3 linked regions of the Danio rerio genome follow. The protein of the gene in region 1 interacts with the protein of each later gene in a pairwise test. Links are inferred from orthologs where the notes say so. Each region holds a gene or a part of one and is shown in the gene's direction. Other genes may lie near its edges.

What was found.
Region 2: the proteins of mid2 (region 1) and prpf31 interact in binary tests that used the Homo sapiens proteins (3 or more experiments, as listed by UniProt). The two-hybrid records come from large-scale screens. The link is inferred for Danio rerio from reciprocal best matches to the Homo sapiens genes MID2 and PRPF31.
Region 3: the proteins of mid2 (region 1) and kifc3 interact in binary tests that used the Homo sapiens proteins (3 or more experiments, as listed by UniProt). The two-hybrid records come from large-scale screens. The link is inferred for Danio rerio from reciprocal best matches to the Homo sapiens genes MID2 and KIFC3.

The regions. Positions count from the first base shown.
Region 1 is NC_133189.1:32,433,861-32,440,486, forward strand, and holds the start of mid2 (probable E3 ubiquitin-protein ligase MID2), read left to right. Parts: upstream 1-2,246; 5' UTR 2,247-2,532; intron 2,533-6,626. UniProt on the Homo sapiens protein: E3 ubiquitin ligase that plays a role in microtubule stabilization. Mediates the 'Lys-48'-linked polyubiquitination of LRRK2 to drive its localization to microtubules and its proteasomal degradation in neurons.
Region 2 is NC_133191.1:35,280,635-35,287,119, forward strand, and holds the end of prpf31 (U4/U6 small nuclear ribonucleoprotein Prp31), read left to right. Parts: intron 1-45; coding exon 46-135; intron 136-234; coding exon 235-362; intron 363-1,793; coding exon 1,794-1,866; intron 1,867-1,971; coding exon 1,972-2,100; intron 2,101-3,231; coding exon 3,232-3,330; intron 3,331-3,460; coding exon 3,461-3,580; 3' UTR 3,581-3,634; exon of another isoform or gene 3,635-3,666; 3' UTR 3,667-3,882; downstream 3,883-6,485. UniProt on the Homo sapiens protein: Involved in pre-mRNA splicing as component of the spliceosome. Required for the assembly of the U4/U5/U6 tri-snRNP complex, one of the building blocks of the spliceosome.
Region 3 is NC_133193.1:48,507,221-48,513,927, forward strand, and holds the start of kifc3 (kinesin-like protein KIFC3), read left to right. Parts: upstream 1-1,933; 5' UTR 1,934-2,808; coding exon 2,809-3,111; intron 3,112-6,707. UniProt on the Homo sapiens protein: Minus-end microtubule-dependent motor protein. Involved in apically targeted transport. Required for zonula adherens maintenance.

The DNA.
Region 1 (6,626 bases):
GGCTTGTTATGTAATGTTGAATACACACTGAACTCTGGCAGAAACCTGTGTTCCAAGGAAAGATTTTCCACTTGGAAATCCACGTGTGGATGAGGCCCATTGTGGTAAAGTGCCAGAATTTGACTTGTTGTCTTTCTCAAATCCTCACAACTCTTAGTGCTTGCAGAGAAGGATACAGAGCAAAGTTAGACATTTCACAATAATTAAAGTAATGTAAAATTATATTTATATTACTTTGGTTATTCTTTATTTTAAAGTATCCTTGTTAGTGTGACTCATTTAACTACTAAGTAATATTAATTATTGCACGCATGTGCTTACTGTTAAAGGATTAGAATGTGGGTTAGGTTTAGGGTTAGTTGCATCTAATTATACATAATTAATTGTAATTGCTATAGTATGTACATGGAACATGTGAAATAAAGACACCTTAAAGTGTTACAAATATTTGCTATAGTTATAGGATTAACTTAGATTGCCCTAAAAACAACTGGTTTTGCATCACAATTATTATCAGGATAATACTGCAGTTGGAAGATAATAAGGTCATACAGAACTCCGAAAAAAATTAGGTGACAATTTTCATTTTTATTTTATTGGGTATGAGTTTGAGTATGTGTTAACTCTTTAAGTTAGTACTAATTAGTTGTTATTAATGATTAACTATTAAATTGCCAAATTATCCAAAAGCTGAATAAATAAACTTTCCATTGTTGTATAAATTGTTAGGGTAGAAAAATGTTTGACTTTTAGAAAAATCTAAATATTGACAAAAAAGTATTGTATTTAAAATGTAATACAAATATTTCACACTGTATTTTTTGTGCAACAAAAACATAATAATGAAATGCTGTAAATGACACTTTTAAATAAATAAATAATTATTTATTTTAAATTGGGGGCGGGGTTGCTATAACTTGTTTCCAGAACAATTATCAAATAATATATGTATGTATACTTTTATATACACTGTTAATCTTAAAACCAATAAAACTCAAATGTGAAAAACTGATACAGTGCTCAGCATACAGTTGAAGTCAGAATTATCAGACCCCCTGAATTATTAGCTGCCCTGTTCATTTTCCCCCAATTTCTGTTTAAAGGAGAGCAGATTTATTCCACATTTTTATACATAATAGTTTTAATAACTCATTTCTAATAACCGATTTATTTTATCTTTGCCATGATGACAGTACATAATATTTGACTAGATGTTTTTCAAGACACTTCTATACAGCTTAAAGCGACATTTCAATGCTTAACTAGGGTAACTAGGCAAGTTATTGTACAACGATGGCTTGTTTTGTAGACTATTGAAAAAAATTGCTTAAAGGGGCTAATTAGTTTTAATTCTGTAGGTTGTATTTTTTTCAATATTTTGCTTGAATTTAATAGTATTATCTTTCAATTTCTAAATATGTTTGATGGCTGAAATATTATTTTAATAAATATATCTGTTTTGTTTAAATGCACCAAAATACATATTCAATGAGAAATGGATAAAAATATTAATTATCAAATTGGGGTGTACTCAATTGTGCTGAGCAGGATGCATACGTTTACATGAATTTCTGTTTGGTACTTTTATAAATTGAGGTGAAATGTATGCTATAGTTATAGTAAGGACATCCAAATGTTATCCATAAGATCAATTCAAATTCTGGGAATAGGAGCTGTTAACTTTACACAATCTGTTTCCTTTTCGGCATATTAACATCTAAATCTATATGTAATGACAATATTGTTCCATCCTTAAATGAACAAAAGCAAGCAGCCGACTGTTTCCATGGTTACCTCATATGAACCTTTTCCCTGTTCAGGTAAAAAGCGCTTTGTCTAACTTGTCTAAATTTATTGTGCTTGAAGAACAGATTTGAAAGCAAATTAAATTTTAAGATATCCAATATAGGATTTCATCACACCCTTTATATAACTTAAGCTTGATGTTTTGAAGAAGGGGACACGCGTCGTCCAGACCACACAACTTTTACGCCAAATGTATTTATTCGATATTTGTTTACATAACTAGGTCGATTCCATGTGCAGTCAGCTCAAACTAGTTTCATTGTCAGATGGTTCCATTGCTCAATCCATTATCCTACTGTACGTGCCTTTTGCCAACAACTGAACCAACAGACCTAAACTAAAGGACGTGTCCGGCCGAATGGATGCCGGTAACCGATCTCATCAGCCCGTGAGGGAGGGATGAGATATTCCCGTGGGATGATCACGTGTCCGTGGGGAGTAGTTGTGTGTGTGGAGCCCTTGGAATCGGAGGTGTAGCGTCAAGCGCGTCGTCCAGACTTCATTGTTACTGTAAGGAAGCTGTCAACTGTATTTGCGCGTGTTTATTGCTTTGCTGAAAGCGAAAGAAAATGCACGTGAAGAGAGGGGATCTGACGACCGATTTACATAAACTTCTGCGCGCATCTCAGTCGCAACAAACGCACTCAGCGTGATCGGTGAAAAATCAACACTGCTGTTTACTGTTCTTGCTACGCGAAATACAGATCACTGTCACTGCACATCAAGGTAAGTACAGGCATTTCTACAGTTTTAGAAGTTTTAGGACGCAATTAAAACGCAACAGAATGTTTGGTATATGCTATAATGTGTCTTAAAACAGAAAGATAAACAACTCGTGAAACATTTTAGATTATATCGAAGTTAAATAAAGTTCTCTTTCAGTCTTAATTTTTCACACATTGTTTGTAGCGTATTTGTGCGTGTTGTTTTCTATAGCCACACTGTACTAAATGAAAATACAGCAGGTAGCATACATGTGACTTCATCGGTGATGAAAGCTTCTGGATAATGTGCAAGAACACCATGATCCCATTTTTGCCTCTGTCTAGCTTTTTTGGGTTTCTTTCCAGAGATTCTGGTTGTCCATTTTTGCATTAACCCCATGAATTCCAAGGTTTAAGTTGTTAGAGTGGTTCAAGATACTTAAAAACCCTGAAGTTAACCATGCATTATAGGCTAGTAAAACTGTAGGTCATATTAATTAGCTTTTGTATGACCTAGATTTTACTAAAATAGTATGGTTAAAACATTGGTTTATCAAAAGCATGGTGAATTTGAGACCAAAACATAATAAATTTTTCATCAGGGAAAGCTTTTCACATTCACCTTTATGGTTTGTTATTTCATGCCACCATATAACTGTAAATAATTATTATAAAACATATTTTGGCTGCACTACAAACTGAAATGTATTTCATGACATCAGATACTATTTTAAGTTTTGTAAATCACTACGTCACTATTGATTACATTAAAATAAGACAAAAACTAAAGCAATTGTCCACATTGCTGCTGTATTTAAATTGTGTCCTCATTTATTCACCCTCATTCCAGAATTTTTTTCTAGAAGAAGAAGCTCTTTTTCCTGTGGAACTAAGGAAACTGTGGAACTAACTAACTTATATTTATATATATATATATATATATATATATATATATATATATATATATATATATATATATATATATATATATATATATTCATATATATGAAGGCTGCTTTTTATTGTAATATTTATGGATAACTGAAGCTATCACCTTCAAATGACAAAGAAAATATAAAAGTGGCCATTACAACACCAAACAGGAGAAAATTTAAGTTATGATTTACTCAAAAACCAATATAATGAAACCAATTGCTCTTTACAATTGCCCACACTATTCGCAGTATTACTCTTTCTATACAGTACTGTCCTTTGGATGAGTGAATGAAAACAAGTAAACAAATGTGTACACTAAAGATGAGGTGAGATGTGGGATTCATCACAGCATGCAAAATGGCTTGCCATTCATATGTACTTTAGCTGAACACTCATTGTGAGATGCATTGTGGGATTGAATTAGTTCACTACAAAGAACTGTTCTTTCAGACAGTATAGTGGACAAAATCATTCAGTTAAAAACAAAAACCAGTATACAGGTTGATTTATGTGCTTCTAGAACTGGTTGTAAATGCCTGACCAAACAAAATTGTAATATGCAAGACCACTGAAAATTCATGTTGAATATAAACCATACAGTAGCTTGCTAATCAACAATATGCTAAGCTACTTTACTTTTTAGTTTGAAAATGGCTAATTTCTTTTTTGTATTCTACAGTGAATGTAAATAATGACAGAATTTACTACTATTCCTTTATACCCGCATCTTCTGCTGCTAGTATGTTTGTCCACATCTTAAACAGAATTGACATCCTCTGTTCCCACCGCTGAAATATCAGAACTGTGTGGAGGTGTACCTGCCCTTAGCGATGAGGAAGCACATTTGCACGCCTCCGTCTTGAAAATGTTTTTCATTCAGAGCAGTTCACTGGGCTATTTGTTTGTAGCCAGTTGATTTCCATATTACATCTGAATATATAACAAAGGTTACAATGCATTGTTGTGAACTGCAAGGGTTATTTTGATGGCATTTTCTTCATAAAAGTACCCTCATCCCCATAGTAACGCTGAGCTATACTGTACTGTATATCCACAGGAGACCGATATACCTGTGCCACTTGCTGTGCTGTCAGCATTGATATGACATTCATGTGGTTAGATGTATTTCAGGCATAACGGTTTACAGTGCAGCTTTTCACTTGGAAAGAGTCCCAGAAGCTTTATTTAAGTTATGTGCTAGTAATAATAAGACTTGCTTATATGATATGTTTGTTATTGAGGAAGTGACTCTTTTAGAACGAGTGGTATCGTGTTGGCATTTGCCTTAAGATGCTGTTAAAAGGTGCCCAGAACTGTGGTTGAAAGGGGCTACTTTAGTGTTGTTTCAGCCTTTCTTCTGTTTATGCTGAGTAGTCTCAACTTCCTGCCAGTATTGTAGGGCATTCTTAAACTGGCAACAAACATCCAATTTAGACCACCCGAGTCTTATGTGACAAATCTGTGGCCATATGAAGGCTTCGCTGCAGTGGATCGTCTTAAGTAATTATGTGGAAAAAAAATGAAATAAATAAAAATCAAAGAGCCTCCATTCCTTCTCCACCATTGGCGCTTTTGCATCTCCAAAGAGAAGAAAAGTTTCTCGATATTAAAAAGCACAGAAGGTAATTTTCCATGGCTGACCTGCTGTGCCAAATGTATTTCTTGAGGCTATGTACTATTCTTATCTCGGGCAAGTCAGCTTGAGAAAGGTTGCTAAAAAGCTGGAGGATATATCTACTGAAAAAATATTGAGATGTGTTAAGATATGTTCCATGATGCTGGTGGAGATCAGGAAGGGGGTCCATTAATGTTGTTAGCTTCTCGTCAGGGGTCTAATATTCAATTAGAGAGACTCGCACTCTTGCCAGAACTTATGTAAATGAGGCCTCAAGGTTGGTAAAAATGTCTTTTAATAAGCATTTCTGTAGTTTACTTTGTCAATGAGCCGAAATCACTTGACAAAGGCTTGCTGTGATGATGGTTGTAGTAATGTTGTTATTATTTCCGTCGGCGGCTTGTGGCCTTATCTTTCCTTTTTAAAACTTGTTAGCATATCCAGTATGTGATCTCACACTGATTTACTGCTCATATTGTGGTTTTTGGTTATACTTAGTGTGGTGATTTAAACTCTCCTACTGTTTTCACTCTGTATATTGAGCTCTCATTGAATGATGGCTCAATGGGGCTGGCGGCATAGCAGGCCATCTCATAATGCACATAGTTTTCTTTTTTCTTTTTCACAGAGAGACTTCAAATAATACAGCTCTGTTGAAATGGCTATGACTAATTTTGTTTTGAGCCAGAGTCAAGATGAGGTGAAGTTGGGCTTTTTTTTTTCCAGAGCGGTTCATCAAATGCCCAGGGCTGGCAAAGCTTCAAATTGGGTTTTGGAAATAAACCTTTCATACCAAATAAACTCAGGCTGACTTGACTTTCATTCCAGTTTATAGTGGATTCAAATCATGATATCTGTTCTTAAGTGTCATTAAATATAGTTTTCAGAATTTTAATTAAAGCTTCACCCATGCTTTCAGTTTCAGTTTGAAACAGATACATTATAGCCTGAATCCACTGGATAAACTGAAGAAGAAAAATCCCCCAATTCTGTAATCTTTATTTAAAGAAATTACATTTGCAGTCTTGGATAATAGAGAAGATTACCAACAACATTTTCTTCTTATTAATTAAATTAAATATTCATTTAGAATTTCATTACTTGGTGTTGGGTTGTTGCTGGAAGGGATCTGCTGCTTAAAACATATGCCGGATAAATTAGCGGTTCATTCCGCTAGGGTGAACCATTATTATTAAAGGGACTAAACCGAAAGAGAAATGAATGGATGAATATGAATTTTAGCTTTTGAAATTTATAATGAACTCTACACTCTGAAAGTTCTTTATTGGCATTGATGGTTACAGCATAGCCTGAATCCACTGGATAAATTAAAGAAAAAAAAAAAACCCTACTCTATAATGATTATTAAAATAAATTGCATTTAAAGTTTAGGATAACACTGAAAGTTGCAAAGAACATTGGTATTTTTATTATTATTAATTTAAAGATTAGATAAGAATTTTACTTGGACAGCTTTAAAGTTTATGATGGACTCTTACACTCTTAAAACTAAAGGTTCTTTATTGGCATTGATGATAACCTTTATCATTGAAGAGCCTCTATCA
Region 2 (6,485 bases), on another chromosome or scaffold:
ATTTGTAAATCTTAGTAACAATGTGGAGTTAATCTGTGTTTGCAGGATCTAAGGAGGAAAGCAGCTCGTCTGGTTTCTGCTAAATGCACTCTGGCTTCTCGCGTGGACAGTTTTCATGAGAGCGCAGATGGCAAGGTGACAGTAGATCATGATCTGCATCTCTGTGCTGTTCATTCACTTTAGAGTATATCAACTAGTTAGACTGTAAGCATTTGTATGTGGGTTGCTCTGCAGGTTGGCTATGATTTGAAGGAAGAGATTGAGAGGAAGTTTGATAAATGGCAGGAGCCTCCACCAGTCAAGCAGGTCAAGCCTCTTCCAGCTCCTCTGGATGGACAGAGGAAGAAGAGAGGAGGAAGAAGGTGAGGGTGGGAATGTTGTGGTCTTGTGAATGGCATATAAAATTAAGGTCTTGGTGCATCTGTGCTGGATGTGAGTTTTTGACTATTCTATAGCTATATATAGATATAATCTAATATTCTATAGATATAATAATACCATAATATGTTTACAGATATTTAAAAAAAAAACTTGCTAAGTGGACATTCGTGTGTATCTGAAAAGCAATGCTAAAGTCAGTTATTCTGCTTTGAAAATGTGAGTTACGTGCCAGAACGCTGTCTTTGTTTTGGTCATTTAACCCAGTTAAGCCAATTATATTTCAGCTGTCTAGGTTGCCTTCATGGAAAATAGCTTATTTGATTCTTTTAGTCATGAAGGCTCTCAAAGCACGCAGTAGCAGCCCCAAAATGAGACGCAGATTCAGAGTTCCACATGAGGTGGTTATTAATTAGCAAATCATATAAATATTACGAGCGTAAACATTAGGTGAGCAGATTACATTGTAACCCCGTGCCCTACCTATTAAACCTCTTTTACATTATTATATGCTAAATAATTAATATTTGTTGGCTTTAGTCACAGTTCTAAAGTTAATTTTCAAATGGTTAACTTAAAGATGATCTGCTGCTGCTTTTAGTAGTATGACAATACATGGCATGTAAAATGGCATTCAAACTCACATTGTTAGCATCTAACACTGAATAAAGCACATGAGCTATACCTGAGGTGATCCATTTCTCACAGGTGAACAACAAGATTAACTGTTTCTAAAATAGAAATTTACAGTTTTGTTAGGACAAAAACTCCTTTTTTGTATAACAAATATTTCTTCTATCACGTGCCATTGCTTTTAGTTGACAAGCTGTTCAAATCAGCCTTTAGGCTTGATAGTCAGGCACACTCGCATAAATCTGGCAACCTGCGCTTGCATGGACTTGTCAGAGGAGGAGCCCAGTGAAAATGTGTTTTGATCCTGTATTGCAATACCTAGTTCAACCAATGGGTGTCAAACTTGCATACTGCACTTTTAAATGACTAAGTTTTAGAGAAAAAATAATGATGATGACAAGTGCATTAATGAGAAAAAGTAACAAAAATATATACTCTTGGAATAAGCAGAAAAAATAGGTTTTCAAACATGAGAGATCAACTTTGTTATGTTGAGATCACAAGAAAATTAAGTTGTGATCATAAGAAAACAAGTAAACTATATTGACGCATGGCCTTTAAGGACTTCAGTCGATATTGTACGCATCAATACTAAACATGATTTTTGACCATTGTTTTTCCTAATAAATCATGTTTTTTTTATTTATTGTTGTACTCCTCAATATACAACAAAAACAAGATATCTACAATTACAAAATATTGAGTTATCTGTCTTTAAAAAGAAACCTTTCATATATTAAAGAATTATTTTGATTGACTTGCATTTTTCCTGGTTCTCTCAGGTATCGTAAGATGAAAGAAAGACTGGGACTGACTGAGATCAGGAAACACGCCAACAGAATGACTTTTGCAGAGGTCAGATGAACTGCATCAGCAGCTCTCCATTAGTGTGCTTGCTTTTGAAATTCTATAGATTGATTCAGCTACTGCGGGTTATTAACGTTCTCTTTCTCTGTGTAGATTGAGGACGATGCCTATCAGGAGGATCTGGGCTTCAGTCTCGGTCAGCTGGGAAAATCTGGCAGTGGCAGAGTCAGACAAGCTCAGGTCAACGACTCCACCAAAGCCAGAATATCCAAATCTTTACAGGTACATCTGCAGCAAATACTAAGGGAAAATGAAGCTTTGAAAGCAAATTTTCTTTGCTTGGGGCATTTTCACAGATGGCTAATTTGCTTATATTTTCGCTTATATTTTCGAATCTGGTGCGTTTTTTTTAGAGATGTACCAAAATGAAAATTCTGGGCTAAAAATGAAAGCAGACATACGAAATGCTCTGGAAAACCGGAAATGCTTTGTAATAATTATTTATTATTTTATTAAATTATATAAAGTCATCTTTCAAGACTTTTTAAGTTTGACATAATTGAATTTATACGGATTTAAAAACAAAAACAAAACACAAGCCAGTAAAATAACCACATGTCCTTAATTTGAGCTGTATTGTGTTATTGAAAAGTTCCCGATAAGTGATCAATTTATTAAAGAGATATTATAAATAAAAATTATATTAAATGACTAATTAATACTGATTTTATTTATAAGCCTCTTGTGCTCGTCAGGCTGCTTTTATAAAAAAAATTAATTGAAAAAAAATGTGAAATAAATTTACCATTTATAATAAAGTCAACTATAATAATGTATTGAAAGCTATTTTGTTCTCATACATTTTAAAATAAAATATATGTCTATGATGGCAAAGCTGAAAATTCAACAGACATTACCCAACTACATTCAACATTACCCAACTACATTCAGTGTCACATGATCTTTCAGAAATCATTCAATATAATTTGCTGATTTAGAGCTAAAAAAAAACATGTATTAATAATATCAATGTTGAAAGCCATGAGACTCATTAATTGTTTGCTGAAGTCTATTTAACCGAATGTATTGTAATTCCATTACAACATTGATGCTGTAAAAGGAACATTATGAAATTGATAAGTCACATTAAGCTTTCACCAGAAGTTCATCATTGGCTGAAAAACACTAGCTCTGCATAGAGCCCATTCAATCATTATTTTAATGATTTCTTTTTTAAACAAGCCTCTCAAGGACATTAATCTGGGATAAATCCTCCTGAATCACTTGTCACCTCTGAGTCAATTTGCTGCCTTGCTCTTTTTTAACAGAATTGAATGTGTCAGCTTGATTGTTGTCATTATTTTTATCCATTATTTCTACACACGTGGTCTTACATCAGTTGTGTTGTTGCAGAGGACACTGCAGAAGCAGAGCATGACGTACGGAGGCAAGTCTACAGTGAGAGACCGATCGTCTGGAACCAGCTCCAGCGTGGCCTTCACTCCTCTACAGGTACACTGTCTCGCAGTCCAGCTGCTTTTGACTCTTTTCGTGCACGTTCTGGTTCATTGTGGCGTGCTGAATCTCAGACTGCCAGCGTTGGTTTGGTTGATTTGTTAGTAAAGCATCTGTTCTCTGTCAGGGGCTGGAGATTGTGAACCCACAGGCTGCAGAGAAGAAGGTGGCTGAAGCCAATCAGAAATATTTCTCCAACATGGCTGAGTTCCTCAAGGTCAAGCGTGAGAAGGAGGACAAGGTGTGAGGCGTCGGCGGCGGCGCATCAGACATGCAGTGACAGCCATGGATAAATTAGCAGATGAAGTGTGAATCTGTCACACACCCACTCAGATGGACTTGTGTGGGGACGGTGACATCATGAGGATTGCTGTCATGCACATTTTGTACATTTGGTTTTCTTTTTGTATTTCATCAAACAAAGGTGTTTAGTGCTGTCTATATAGAACAGAACATTGTAAATGCAAGTTTTCATTTTAAGGAATTTTTTATTTTTATTTTGACAATTACAAACAACACTGAGTGAATAAAGTTGCTCATCTAGTTGGACCAGAGTTTTTTCTTTTTTTCTTTTTAGTGCTTGTTAACTTTTTTATTTGTCCTGTAAGAAACTAATATTACATTCAAAATAATCTAAAGTGGTTGTCTCAAACTTAATTCCTGGAGGGCCGCAGCTCTGCTCAGTTATGCTCCGACCCTGATTAAACACCGCTTCTCCATCTAATGAAGGTGTTCATAACCCTTTTGAACACCTGGATTATTAGGATCAGGTTTGTCTGCAACACATCACATCTGAAGCAGTCCTGAAATGAGAAACAAATGTTGTGCGGTGCATGATTTAATAAATAATGGCAATGATTTTAAAAATAAGAGCAAATTTAAATGCCATGGTGACTTTAATACCAATTAAACAGTAATTAATAGTAATCAAAATACTGCAGCCTTATGAAGACAAATCACACACAGCGCAGTTGTAGACTGCATTGGGCGATCTGAGCTACTTTCCTTAGAGAAGACCCCCATCATTTCTTTGTGCAAATTCTATTGTTTTACACGCACACACATTTTAGAAAAAATATGCAATATTAGTTTTGATAAAAACATGCAATGGTTTTCCATATTAGTTTTTCTCATTCGCTTTGGTACATTTATCAGAACACTAGTGCATTGGGTCCGTGTACGTTGCGTTCATTCGATTTTTGATCTTAAACGAAATTTAAAAAACGAGGAAACGGCCGTTTTTCGTTTTTTTATTTGGCTAAAAAAAATTTAAATAAATGATTTTGGCTCGATTTTCTTTTTTTGGTTTAGGGTAGGAAAACGGATAAATGACTTTAAAATTCATTATCCACATGTAGGCGGTTCTAAAACGCCCATTTCCTCTGATTGGTCAATCAAATCTGGGCTCCTAACGTCGCCTTCAAAATAACAGTCCTGTAGTCTTCGTCCTCTGCGGATCAGCACACAGGCATTTAATATATTATATTCAATATATAATATATTAGCAGTATTATTAGACATTTATCATTACAATTTATCATTACTGTTATAGTTCGCCGCCAAATTTGCTGCTATGCACCTGATACTGAGCAAAAGATTTGCGAGCAGCACTTGGTTTGCACGATTGTTTCCAAGCTAGGCCTATAGTAATAATAATAATAATAATAATAATAATAATAATAATAATAATAATAATAATAATAAGCCTTCCTTTCGAGACTTTCGCTGGATTAATGTCGAGTACAAAATATCTGTTTTAACAGTTTTCAGTATTTTGTGATTTTTACTTTTTTATTATTTATTATTTATGTATTTATTTGCATTGTCTGGGCTGGTGTTGTATATTATGCTACAAAAACTTTGTAATAAACTGTGTTTACATTAATTTATCTATAGCCTATATTATTTCTTAAACATTATATTACTTCAAAAGTCCACAGAGCAGATATTAGGTCCCATAAATGAACGATGCAAGAGTCGGATCCAACAGCCAAAGAGAACTATTATCTTTATTTTTTTCGTTTAAAATAACTGTTTAATATACATAATACACCAAATTTACGTATCATTTGAACCACATACTAGAACATAGGCCTATGCCTGATACATTCATTGCATATGCATAAATTATATAAAAACAGCAGTATAATTATTTGACATTAAATTAACGTCACTGCCAAACTTCTTGCTGCTATGCTCCTGATGCTGTGCAAAATAAAGCCATTTCTGAGCAGCATATTATTGTTTCCGAGCTAGGCGCAGCTTTATAAATACGTGATTATTTTCACGTATTATTGTGATGTAATTAAAACAAGACCTATTTAATAATAGGAGAGAAAGCGAGAGATGGATAGATGGATATGCGTACATGTAAGGATGAAAGCTTAAATTTAGCCGAATATTAATTAAATACTTTAATTGGCCATATGGCTGTTGCCGAACACTGCCTTTTGTGTTTTATTTGGATATTACAAAATTAAATAGTCAAAATGTATTTTTTTACCATTCTCTCTTTTTACCATCATCATCATCTCTCTCTGGCTTTTTTCAATAACAAAGAAATATATTTCAAAACAACACTTTAAAATGTATTACTTACGCTACATTATTAATAGATTTACTGTAGAGCTCAGCAGTTTACTCCGTGAATTCGCAAGAGTTACATTATATGGGAGTATTTTTTAAGCGCTAAAGTCTACATTTTTATTTAATCAGGTGGATCAGGTGATAGGATCAGTTATTATTGCTTATGCAAACGTCATCTACGTTCTGAAAAATAATAAGGTGTTTTAAAAATGTGTATCTTGACAAACTGGCACAAATTATAAAAATCTTTCATCGTGGCCAGACACGCGCAATCTCTCACAATGAGTTTACTGCACAAGTTGGAGGATGTTGTTCATAAAAAAAAGCAAAGACGGCTCCTTCAAGAATATAAGATTTTTAATTGTTTTGTAAGTGCACTCAGGCATATGTTTTTGCATATCACTATAATTCTTTACAAAAGATTGATTAATTATTCTGTTTTCGAACTGTTATTCTTTACCTGTTATGTTATTATGTGGGCGTGGTTAGAGGTCCGCTCGCGAGTTCAATGAATGTATTTGACACAGTAACGGAAGAGGAACAGAGGAAAAGGCAAGTGCACATCG
Region 3 (6,707 bases), on another chromosome or scaffold:
GCATATTGATATATAAATGAATTATATTGTCATAATTATATTTTTTCTTAAACTGTTCCCTAATGCATGCCTAATAAATACTGTATTTTACTGGAAGTTTAAATTTCACATTTTAACTTCAGCTTAACCAGTTTTGATGAACTTTTAAAACCACAATTAATTACCTGTTCAAGAGCTGCTGACTGAGAATCTTCATTTAAACATTAAAAGGGACCTATAATGGAAAAAGCACTATTATAAGGGGTTTAAACACAGTTGTGTGGCAGCACTGTATAAATATAACCAGCCTCTAATGGTGAAAATTTATTAATTAAATTTTTGTATAATCACACCTTAATAAACAGTCTGCAGAAACACTTTGATTGACATTCTGCCTTTGTACGTGCCATTGGATTGGAAAAGCCCCGCCCATTAGAGAAATTTCTCCCTCATTAGCATAAACAGCTTTGAGTGAGAAGCAGCCGTCCGCCATTCTCATTTGAATTTAAAGCGACAGTCACCAAAACGACACAATTTGGATCACAGCCTTAAACTTGCTGTTTCAAAGCATTATAAAAAATTATTTTTGTGGTATTTTCAGCTGATACTTCACAAACACACACACACACACACACACACACACACACACACACACACACACACACACACACAAACACTATAGGGACTTATTTTACATCTTGTTTAAATGAGTGTAAGAGGCCCCCTTTGAAGAAGAGAATATTCAACTTGTATCATCATTTTGGTATTGTCTTATATACAGTTGAAGTCAGAATTATTAGCCCTTGTTGATGTTTTTTTTCTTTTTTAAATATTTCCAAAATGATGTTTAACAAAGCAAAGACATTTTCACAGTATGTCTGATAATATTTTGTCTTTTTGAGAGTCTTATTTTCGGCTAGAATAAAAGCAGTTATTAATTTTTTAACTACCAATTTAAGGACAAAATTATTAGCCCCTTTAAGCTATTTTTTCCGATAGTCTACAGAACAAACCATCGTTATACAATAACTTTCCTAATTACTCTAACCTGCGTAGTTAACCTACTGTAATTAACCTAGTTAAGCCTTTAAATGTCACTAAGCTGTTTAGAAGTGTCTTTAAAAATATCTAGTCAAATATTATTTACTGTCTTCATGACAAGGATAAAATAAATCAGTTATTAAAAATGAGTTCTTAAACCTATTATGTTTAAAAAATAAAATAAACAAATAAAAAATAATAATAATCAATAATAATAATAATAAAACAGGGAGGTTAATAATTCAGGGGGGCTAATAATTCTGATTTCAACTGTATATAAAAAAAATTGTTGTTTGTTTGTAGTTTTCTGTTTGTAGATTTGCCCAGCCCTGCCACTTTAGTTTGAGCACTTACTTCTATACTGGTTAATTTGGTTCGAACAGGCACTCTTGTTGTTTTCCCTTGGTCTGAAGCATGTGAACGGCCCCTAAAAAGGGTAATGAACCAGAAGATGGCCTTTTGTTTGTCTTGCGCACACACTTCAAACATGATTCAATTTTTCCCCCCTGAAGTACCAGCACAAGACAGCGCCGATCTTCTATGTCCCCGAATCCTAATTGATCACTCTAGATTGGCACTGTCAGGTCTCACTGCGCCACATTCCCATAGTTGTCTGTTTCCATATTATGTTCTATCCATTGTCACACAGCAGGAGCATGATGGATGGCTTTGTAGGACGCAGTTCAACAGGGTCATCTTACCACGGAGGCGACCAATCACAGACCAGCTTCTTTATCCTCAGCAGTGCATTTAAAACATGTTTTGAGTTGATTTTCCTTATTTTGCATAGATGCAAACACTGTTGTTACATCATCGGCTAAGAGACGCTTAGCTGTCCGACTGCAGTGACAGATGGACACAATGAGAAAAGGGAGGGCGAAAGAGTGAAAAGCATTTTCTCTCTCGGAGTTATAGGACTACACCAGCATCGCAGGAGTTGGATGGGTTATGAATGGTTGGAGTTTGCCCAGTCATTTGGACCTAAAAACGGGGATAAAGACTATCAAAACAAGGCATTATGAAAGGAGTGGTCTGACCTGTGAGTTTTGTCCTGCAATCCAGTGACTGTAAAAATACAATAAAACCATTACTGACGCAAGTGGAGGTGATGATTTGTCAAAGTGCCAATGGAGATTACGACTGAGAGTTTCATGGTTACTCTTTCGATCGAATTTCACTGGAATACACCTGTAATCTTCTGGAAGATCTCCAAAGAAGAGGCGTGCAGATGGGGAAGATAAGCACCTAAATATTATGTATCCTGATTAAAGAAGCATTTATCATGCTGTTGGCTTACATTGTTTATCAGGCGATATCTTTATAGACGTGTCCAGGTAGGTTAAAATGGCTTTGTGGGGTTTAAAAGCAGATGTGCGGTAGTCGTCCCTCCCTCATTCTCTCTTGAACGAGATTGGGAGATGAGAAAGCCATCTCATTTGCTGATCAGATCACAGACAGATTATCAAGCCTAAGTGAGAGTTCTGGAGCTCGAAGGTGTTGGAATAACACGGTCTTACCTTCCAGGAGTTGTTGTTTGAGTGAAAACAGTGGTGGGAAGACATGCAAGAACTCAACAATACTTGATTCTAAACTGGCTGATCACCTTCACGTCGACCGATAAAGCTCATTGCTGCGCAATTCGGAAGAGTTTATATTACGACTGTAACTTTAACCAGAAGATAGTGTTCAGTGCTTGCGCTCACCCTGAAATGGGATCATCCAGAATCGCTTTTAAAGGATACTCCGTCTAAATGTGTGTGTGGAGACGTCTCCAGTAGTCAAGCCAGCATGTATGTTCTGTGCACCTTGGTGCTGCTGTCTCTTCACAACCTGTTTAGGAGACCCCGAGTCCTGGATCCCGTTGAACCCAAAGCTATCGAAAGCCCAGAGAAGCACAAACCAGATGTAGGCAAACACGGACGCAAGAAGAGAAACAAACACCACATTCCTGGAAGTTCTGGACCACTAGAGACTTCAAGAGTGCATGGGCAGAGTGACGTTGATAGATGCCTTGACGGATTCAGCAGCAGAGCGAGTAAAAGAAGATCTGTTCATCAGGATAATGTGCTGGAGAGGAGGAAGATAGCACAGGTGAGCGTGAACATGGAGGTTAAAGTAAAGAAAGTTGTTAGTTGAAGGCTGTTTGCATTGCAGCCATCCAGTTTAATGTTCACTGTTAACGATTTTTGTAAATTACACAGTATTTAGCTGTAATGTGAACTGTATTTTACTGTAGGACACTCATGCAGTATGTTACTGTATTTTAATGCTGCATTGTGAAAATTAGTGTATATTCTACAGTAAAGATTTACATTAGGGTTGGGCGATGTTGACCGATTTGGCATCGTACGATGTCTAATGTGAAACATCGTGATGGACGATGGCATCAGTGAATCATTTATTTATTCATAACAAATTAATAATTTGTAGCCACCCGTTGCGACTACCTGACCTGCATAGTCTTTGTTTTATACATAACCAAATCATAAATGAATAAAGATAAATTACACATAAATGACCAACCGGTCAATATTTTTTTTTGCGGGATTCTGGCATGAATAGGCAGAGTGATCTGTGTCATTATAATGGCGTCGAAAAACTTGGTTGGTAAAAAAAAAGGTGCACAACCAACAGGAACCATCCAACAGTATCTGAGGTTTAAGCTAGAATTACAATTTACTAAAAGTACAAGCGTGAAAGCGAAAGACTGAAGCAGTGTACTGACGCTGTGTTACCTGATAGATTCAAAAGACAGAGGAGTCGTTAGATAGAGACAAGATTAATTAAATATCAAGTTTAACATCTATAAGATGCAATCCAGCGGTACATCTTTAATAAATTGTCCAAAGTGCACTGCTCTCTGGGATTTTGTGCTCAAAGCACCCACTGACTGCCTAGAGCTCAGACGTGCGCAAATGCTGCAGCACATGCCATGTGTGTTCAGCAGTATGTTTTCAGAAGTGCTAGATAAAACGCCAGTGGATGTGGATCGTTTTCGTTCTAAAATGCCATTTTAATACTAAGATGTATTGGTCTAAATGGGGCCTGAGTGTGTAATTCTAGCGACGGGGGCGGGGCAGAGGATGTTTCTCGGCCTTTGTCGATCGACGATGGCATTGCCTATTGACCCAAAACTATTATACATACATATCTGTAAATACAAGATAAATGGTGCTGTAAATGTAAATACAGTCTATTTGCTGTACTTGATTTACAGTAAGTTACTGGTAAATTGCTGCCAGTATGTTACTGTAGATTCTGCAGGGAATTAAGTGTTGTTTTTGACCGATCAGTCCTCAAGCTGGAAGAGTGTAACTGATGAGTCTCTCTGCTACTGGAAAACCTCCATTTAATCCAAAATGCAATTATTTATTCATTGATTTCTTCTCATTATTTATGTGCGTTGTATTATTGATTTGAAGAAACCTTAGACGGCTTTAAGTTGAACATATTCCTTTTCTGAGTGTGTGAATTTCATCAAGTCTACTGGAGCTATTTTAATCAATCAAGTGCGTTTTTCTCGACTTTTCATCCTTATCCAGAATTTCTGTGATCAGCTGCTTCTGGTGGGAGTAATTCACTATGGGAACATTTTGTAAATGTTCTTTCTGCATAATACACACAGGGATTTTCATTTACCTGGAATCATGTTTATCCTCCCAATGTCCCATTTCTAATGTTCTCTGCAGTCTGATGGATCGTTTTAGCAGATCAAATCCTGAGTGGTTACGCAAGCAGTGGGTTAATCAGAGAGCTCTCTGTCCCCTTTAATCATAATTTAATTCGCATACGCTCTGTTTACTGCTATCCCTTTTCCTCAATCTTTATGCTTTGACTTGACGAATTAGCAAAAATCTGGATTTGCTAGAATTTTAACATAGTGCTTGTGATTTATTACACCACTTCTTTGTGTGCACATTAGTTTTGTACGCTCTTAGTTGGGGCTATATGTAGAATTCAGAAACACTCAACCTCTTTGGCCCAGGGCTACATTTTCGAGAACTGAGATATATGTACTAGGGTTGGGCGATGTTGACCATTTTGGCATCGTATGATGTCTAATGTAAAACATTGCAATGGACGATTTCATCGTTGTCATAGGTGGTGGTGAATTAATTATTTATGAATAATTAATTAATTCATAACAAATTAATTATTTGTAGCCACCTGTTTCAACTACCTGACCAGCATGGGCTTTGTTTTATACATAACCAAATCATAAATAAATAAAAATAAGTTACAATGTCAATGTCAATCACTTTTTCCGCGGGACTCTGTATTAGTGTTATTGTAAACAGGCCCTAAGTGTGTATTTTTTTGTGAGCGGCTTGCTGCTGCGAAGTGGCAGGGCGGAGGATCGTGACGCTTGCTCAGCATCGTGATGTCTATCAGCGATCATCGACTGAACTGTAATATGAACCCTGGGCTACTTGTGCTAGCATTTTTTTTTCCTTTACAAATCCGCTAGGTGTCGACATATACATTTTTGACAATCTTAATTGCATTACTGGGACACGATTCTCATGCCTCATATGCGGCATTTTTTGTAAATCCATGGTGTACATTTTTAGCAACCTCCACTTCCTTCTAGCCCACATCCATGAGAGAATCTAGCTTTCCCCTTAGCGTTCGTTTTAAACACAAAAAGTATTCATATTAACCCATTTCTCAGTTCTCAAAAATCTAGCCCTGGGCACATTTTCCCAATGAGCATGTTGAGGTGACACCGGTGGTCATTAAGTGAACTGCAGTAAAATGTTAATAATAAATTTGCAGTAATGCATTAATAATGACCATCCTGACAAATGCTTTTCTTTTGCACAACACAGTGACATACATTAAAAATTTAAAGTTCGTTAAAGTTCGTTGTGTCATTACACAGAAAACAGGCTCTTGGGAGCCTTAGGAACATAATTATATTTAGTGTGGATAGTATAGAGAATAGACATTTGACATTTTTATTATGCATATTGTTTGTTTGTGAAAAGTTTAGTCCGTTTTTTTCATCGTACGAAAAACAAATTACAAGCTCTTGAAAGATTTGGGGAAAATCCTTTTTCTGTTGCTTAGGCATTGTCATAAAACCAAACCTAAAAATCTTTTGTGAAAAGTAAACTTCCTATGGATGTTTCAATATTAATGAATGGCAAGTCTTAAGAGCGACTTTTAATCAGTTACAGGTTTCTTTTTTCATGTTACAATTCATATTAAAATCAATAATTTTGCAATGGCTAAATATATAGTATATTGGTGTATTAATGATTACAAAGAAAAGAACTAACGCTCAATGTGAATTTTAATATGCTTTTTATAAATGCTTAGCTAAATAAAAAAACACAGACCAAAATGAAGGCCATGCTATTTTAATAATGCTCTTTTATTTTTTTTATTCGTTGTACAGATCTTTTATCTAAGGGTTATTATGCTGCTGTTTCGATAGAGTCGACACAGTTTTGTACAGGTAATATCTTGATGGTCATTGTATTTGCCTTGTGCTTTTCAGCAATAAACTATCAGTGTACTGCTTTTTGGATTGTTGTCTGTCAGTTTAAGTACCAGCGATGCAGCGTGGAGTGATGTTAAAAAAAAATGCACAAAAATTTATTCATTTTGTATTTTGCAAATGGGAAAACTAACAAACTAACATTGTTATTCCTACTTTAATAAATGTAACTGGAATTTATAAT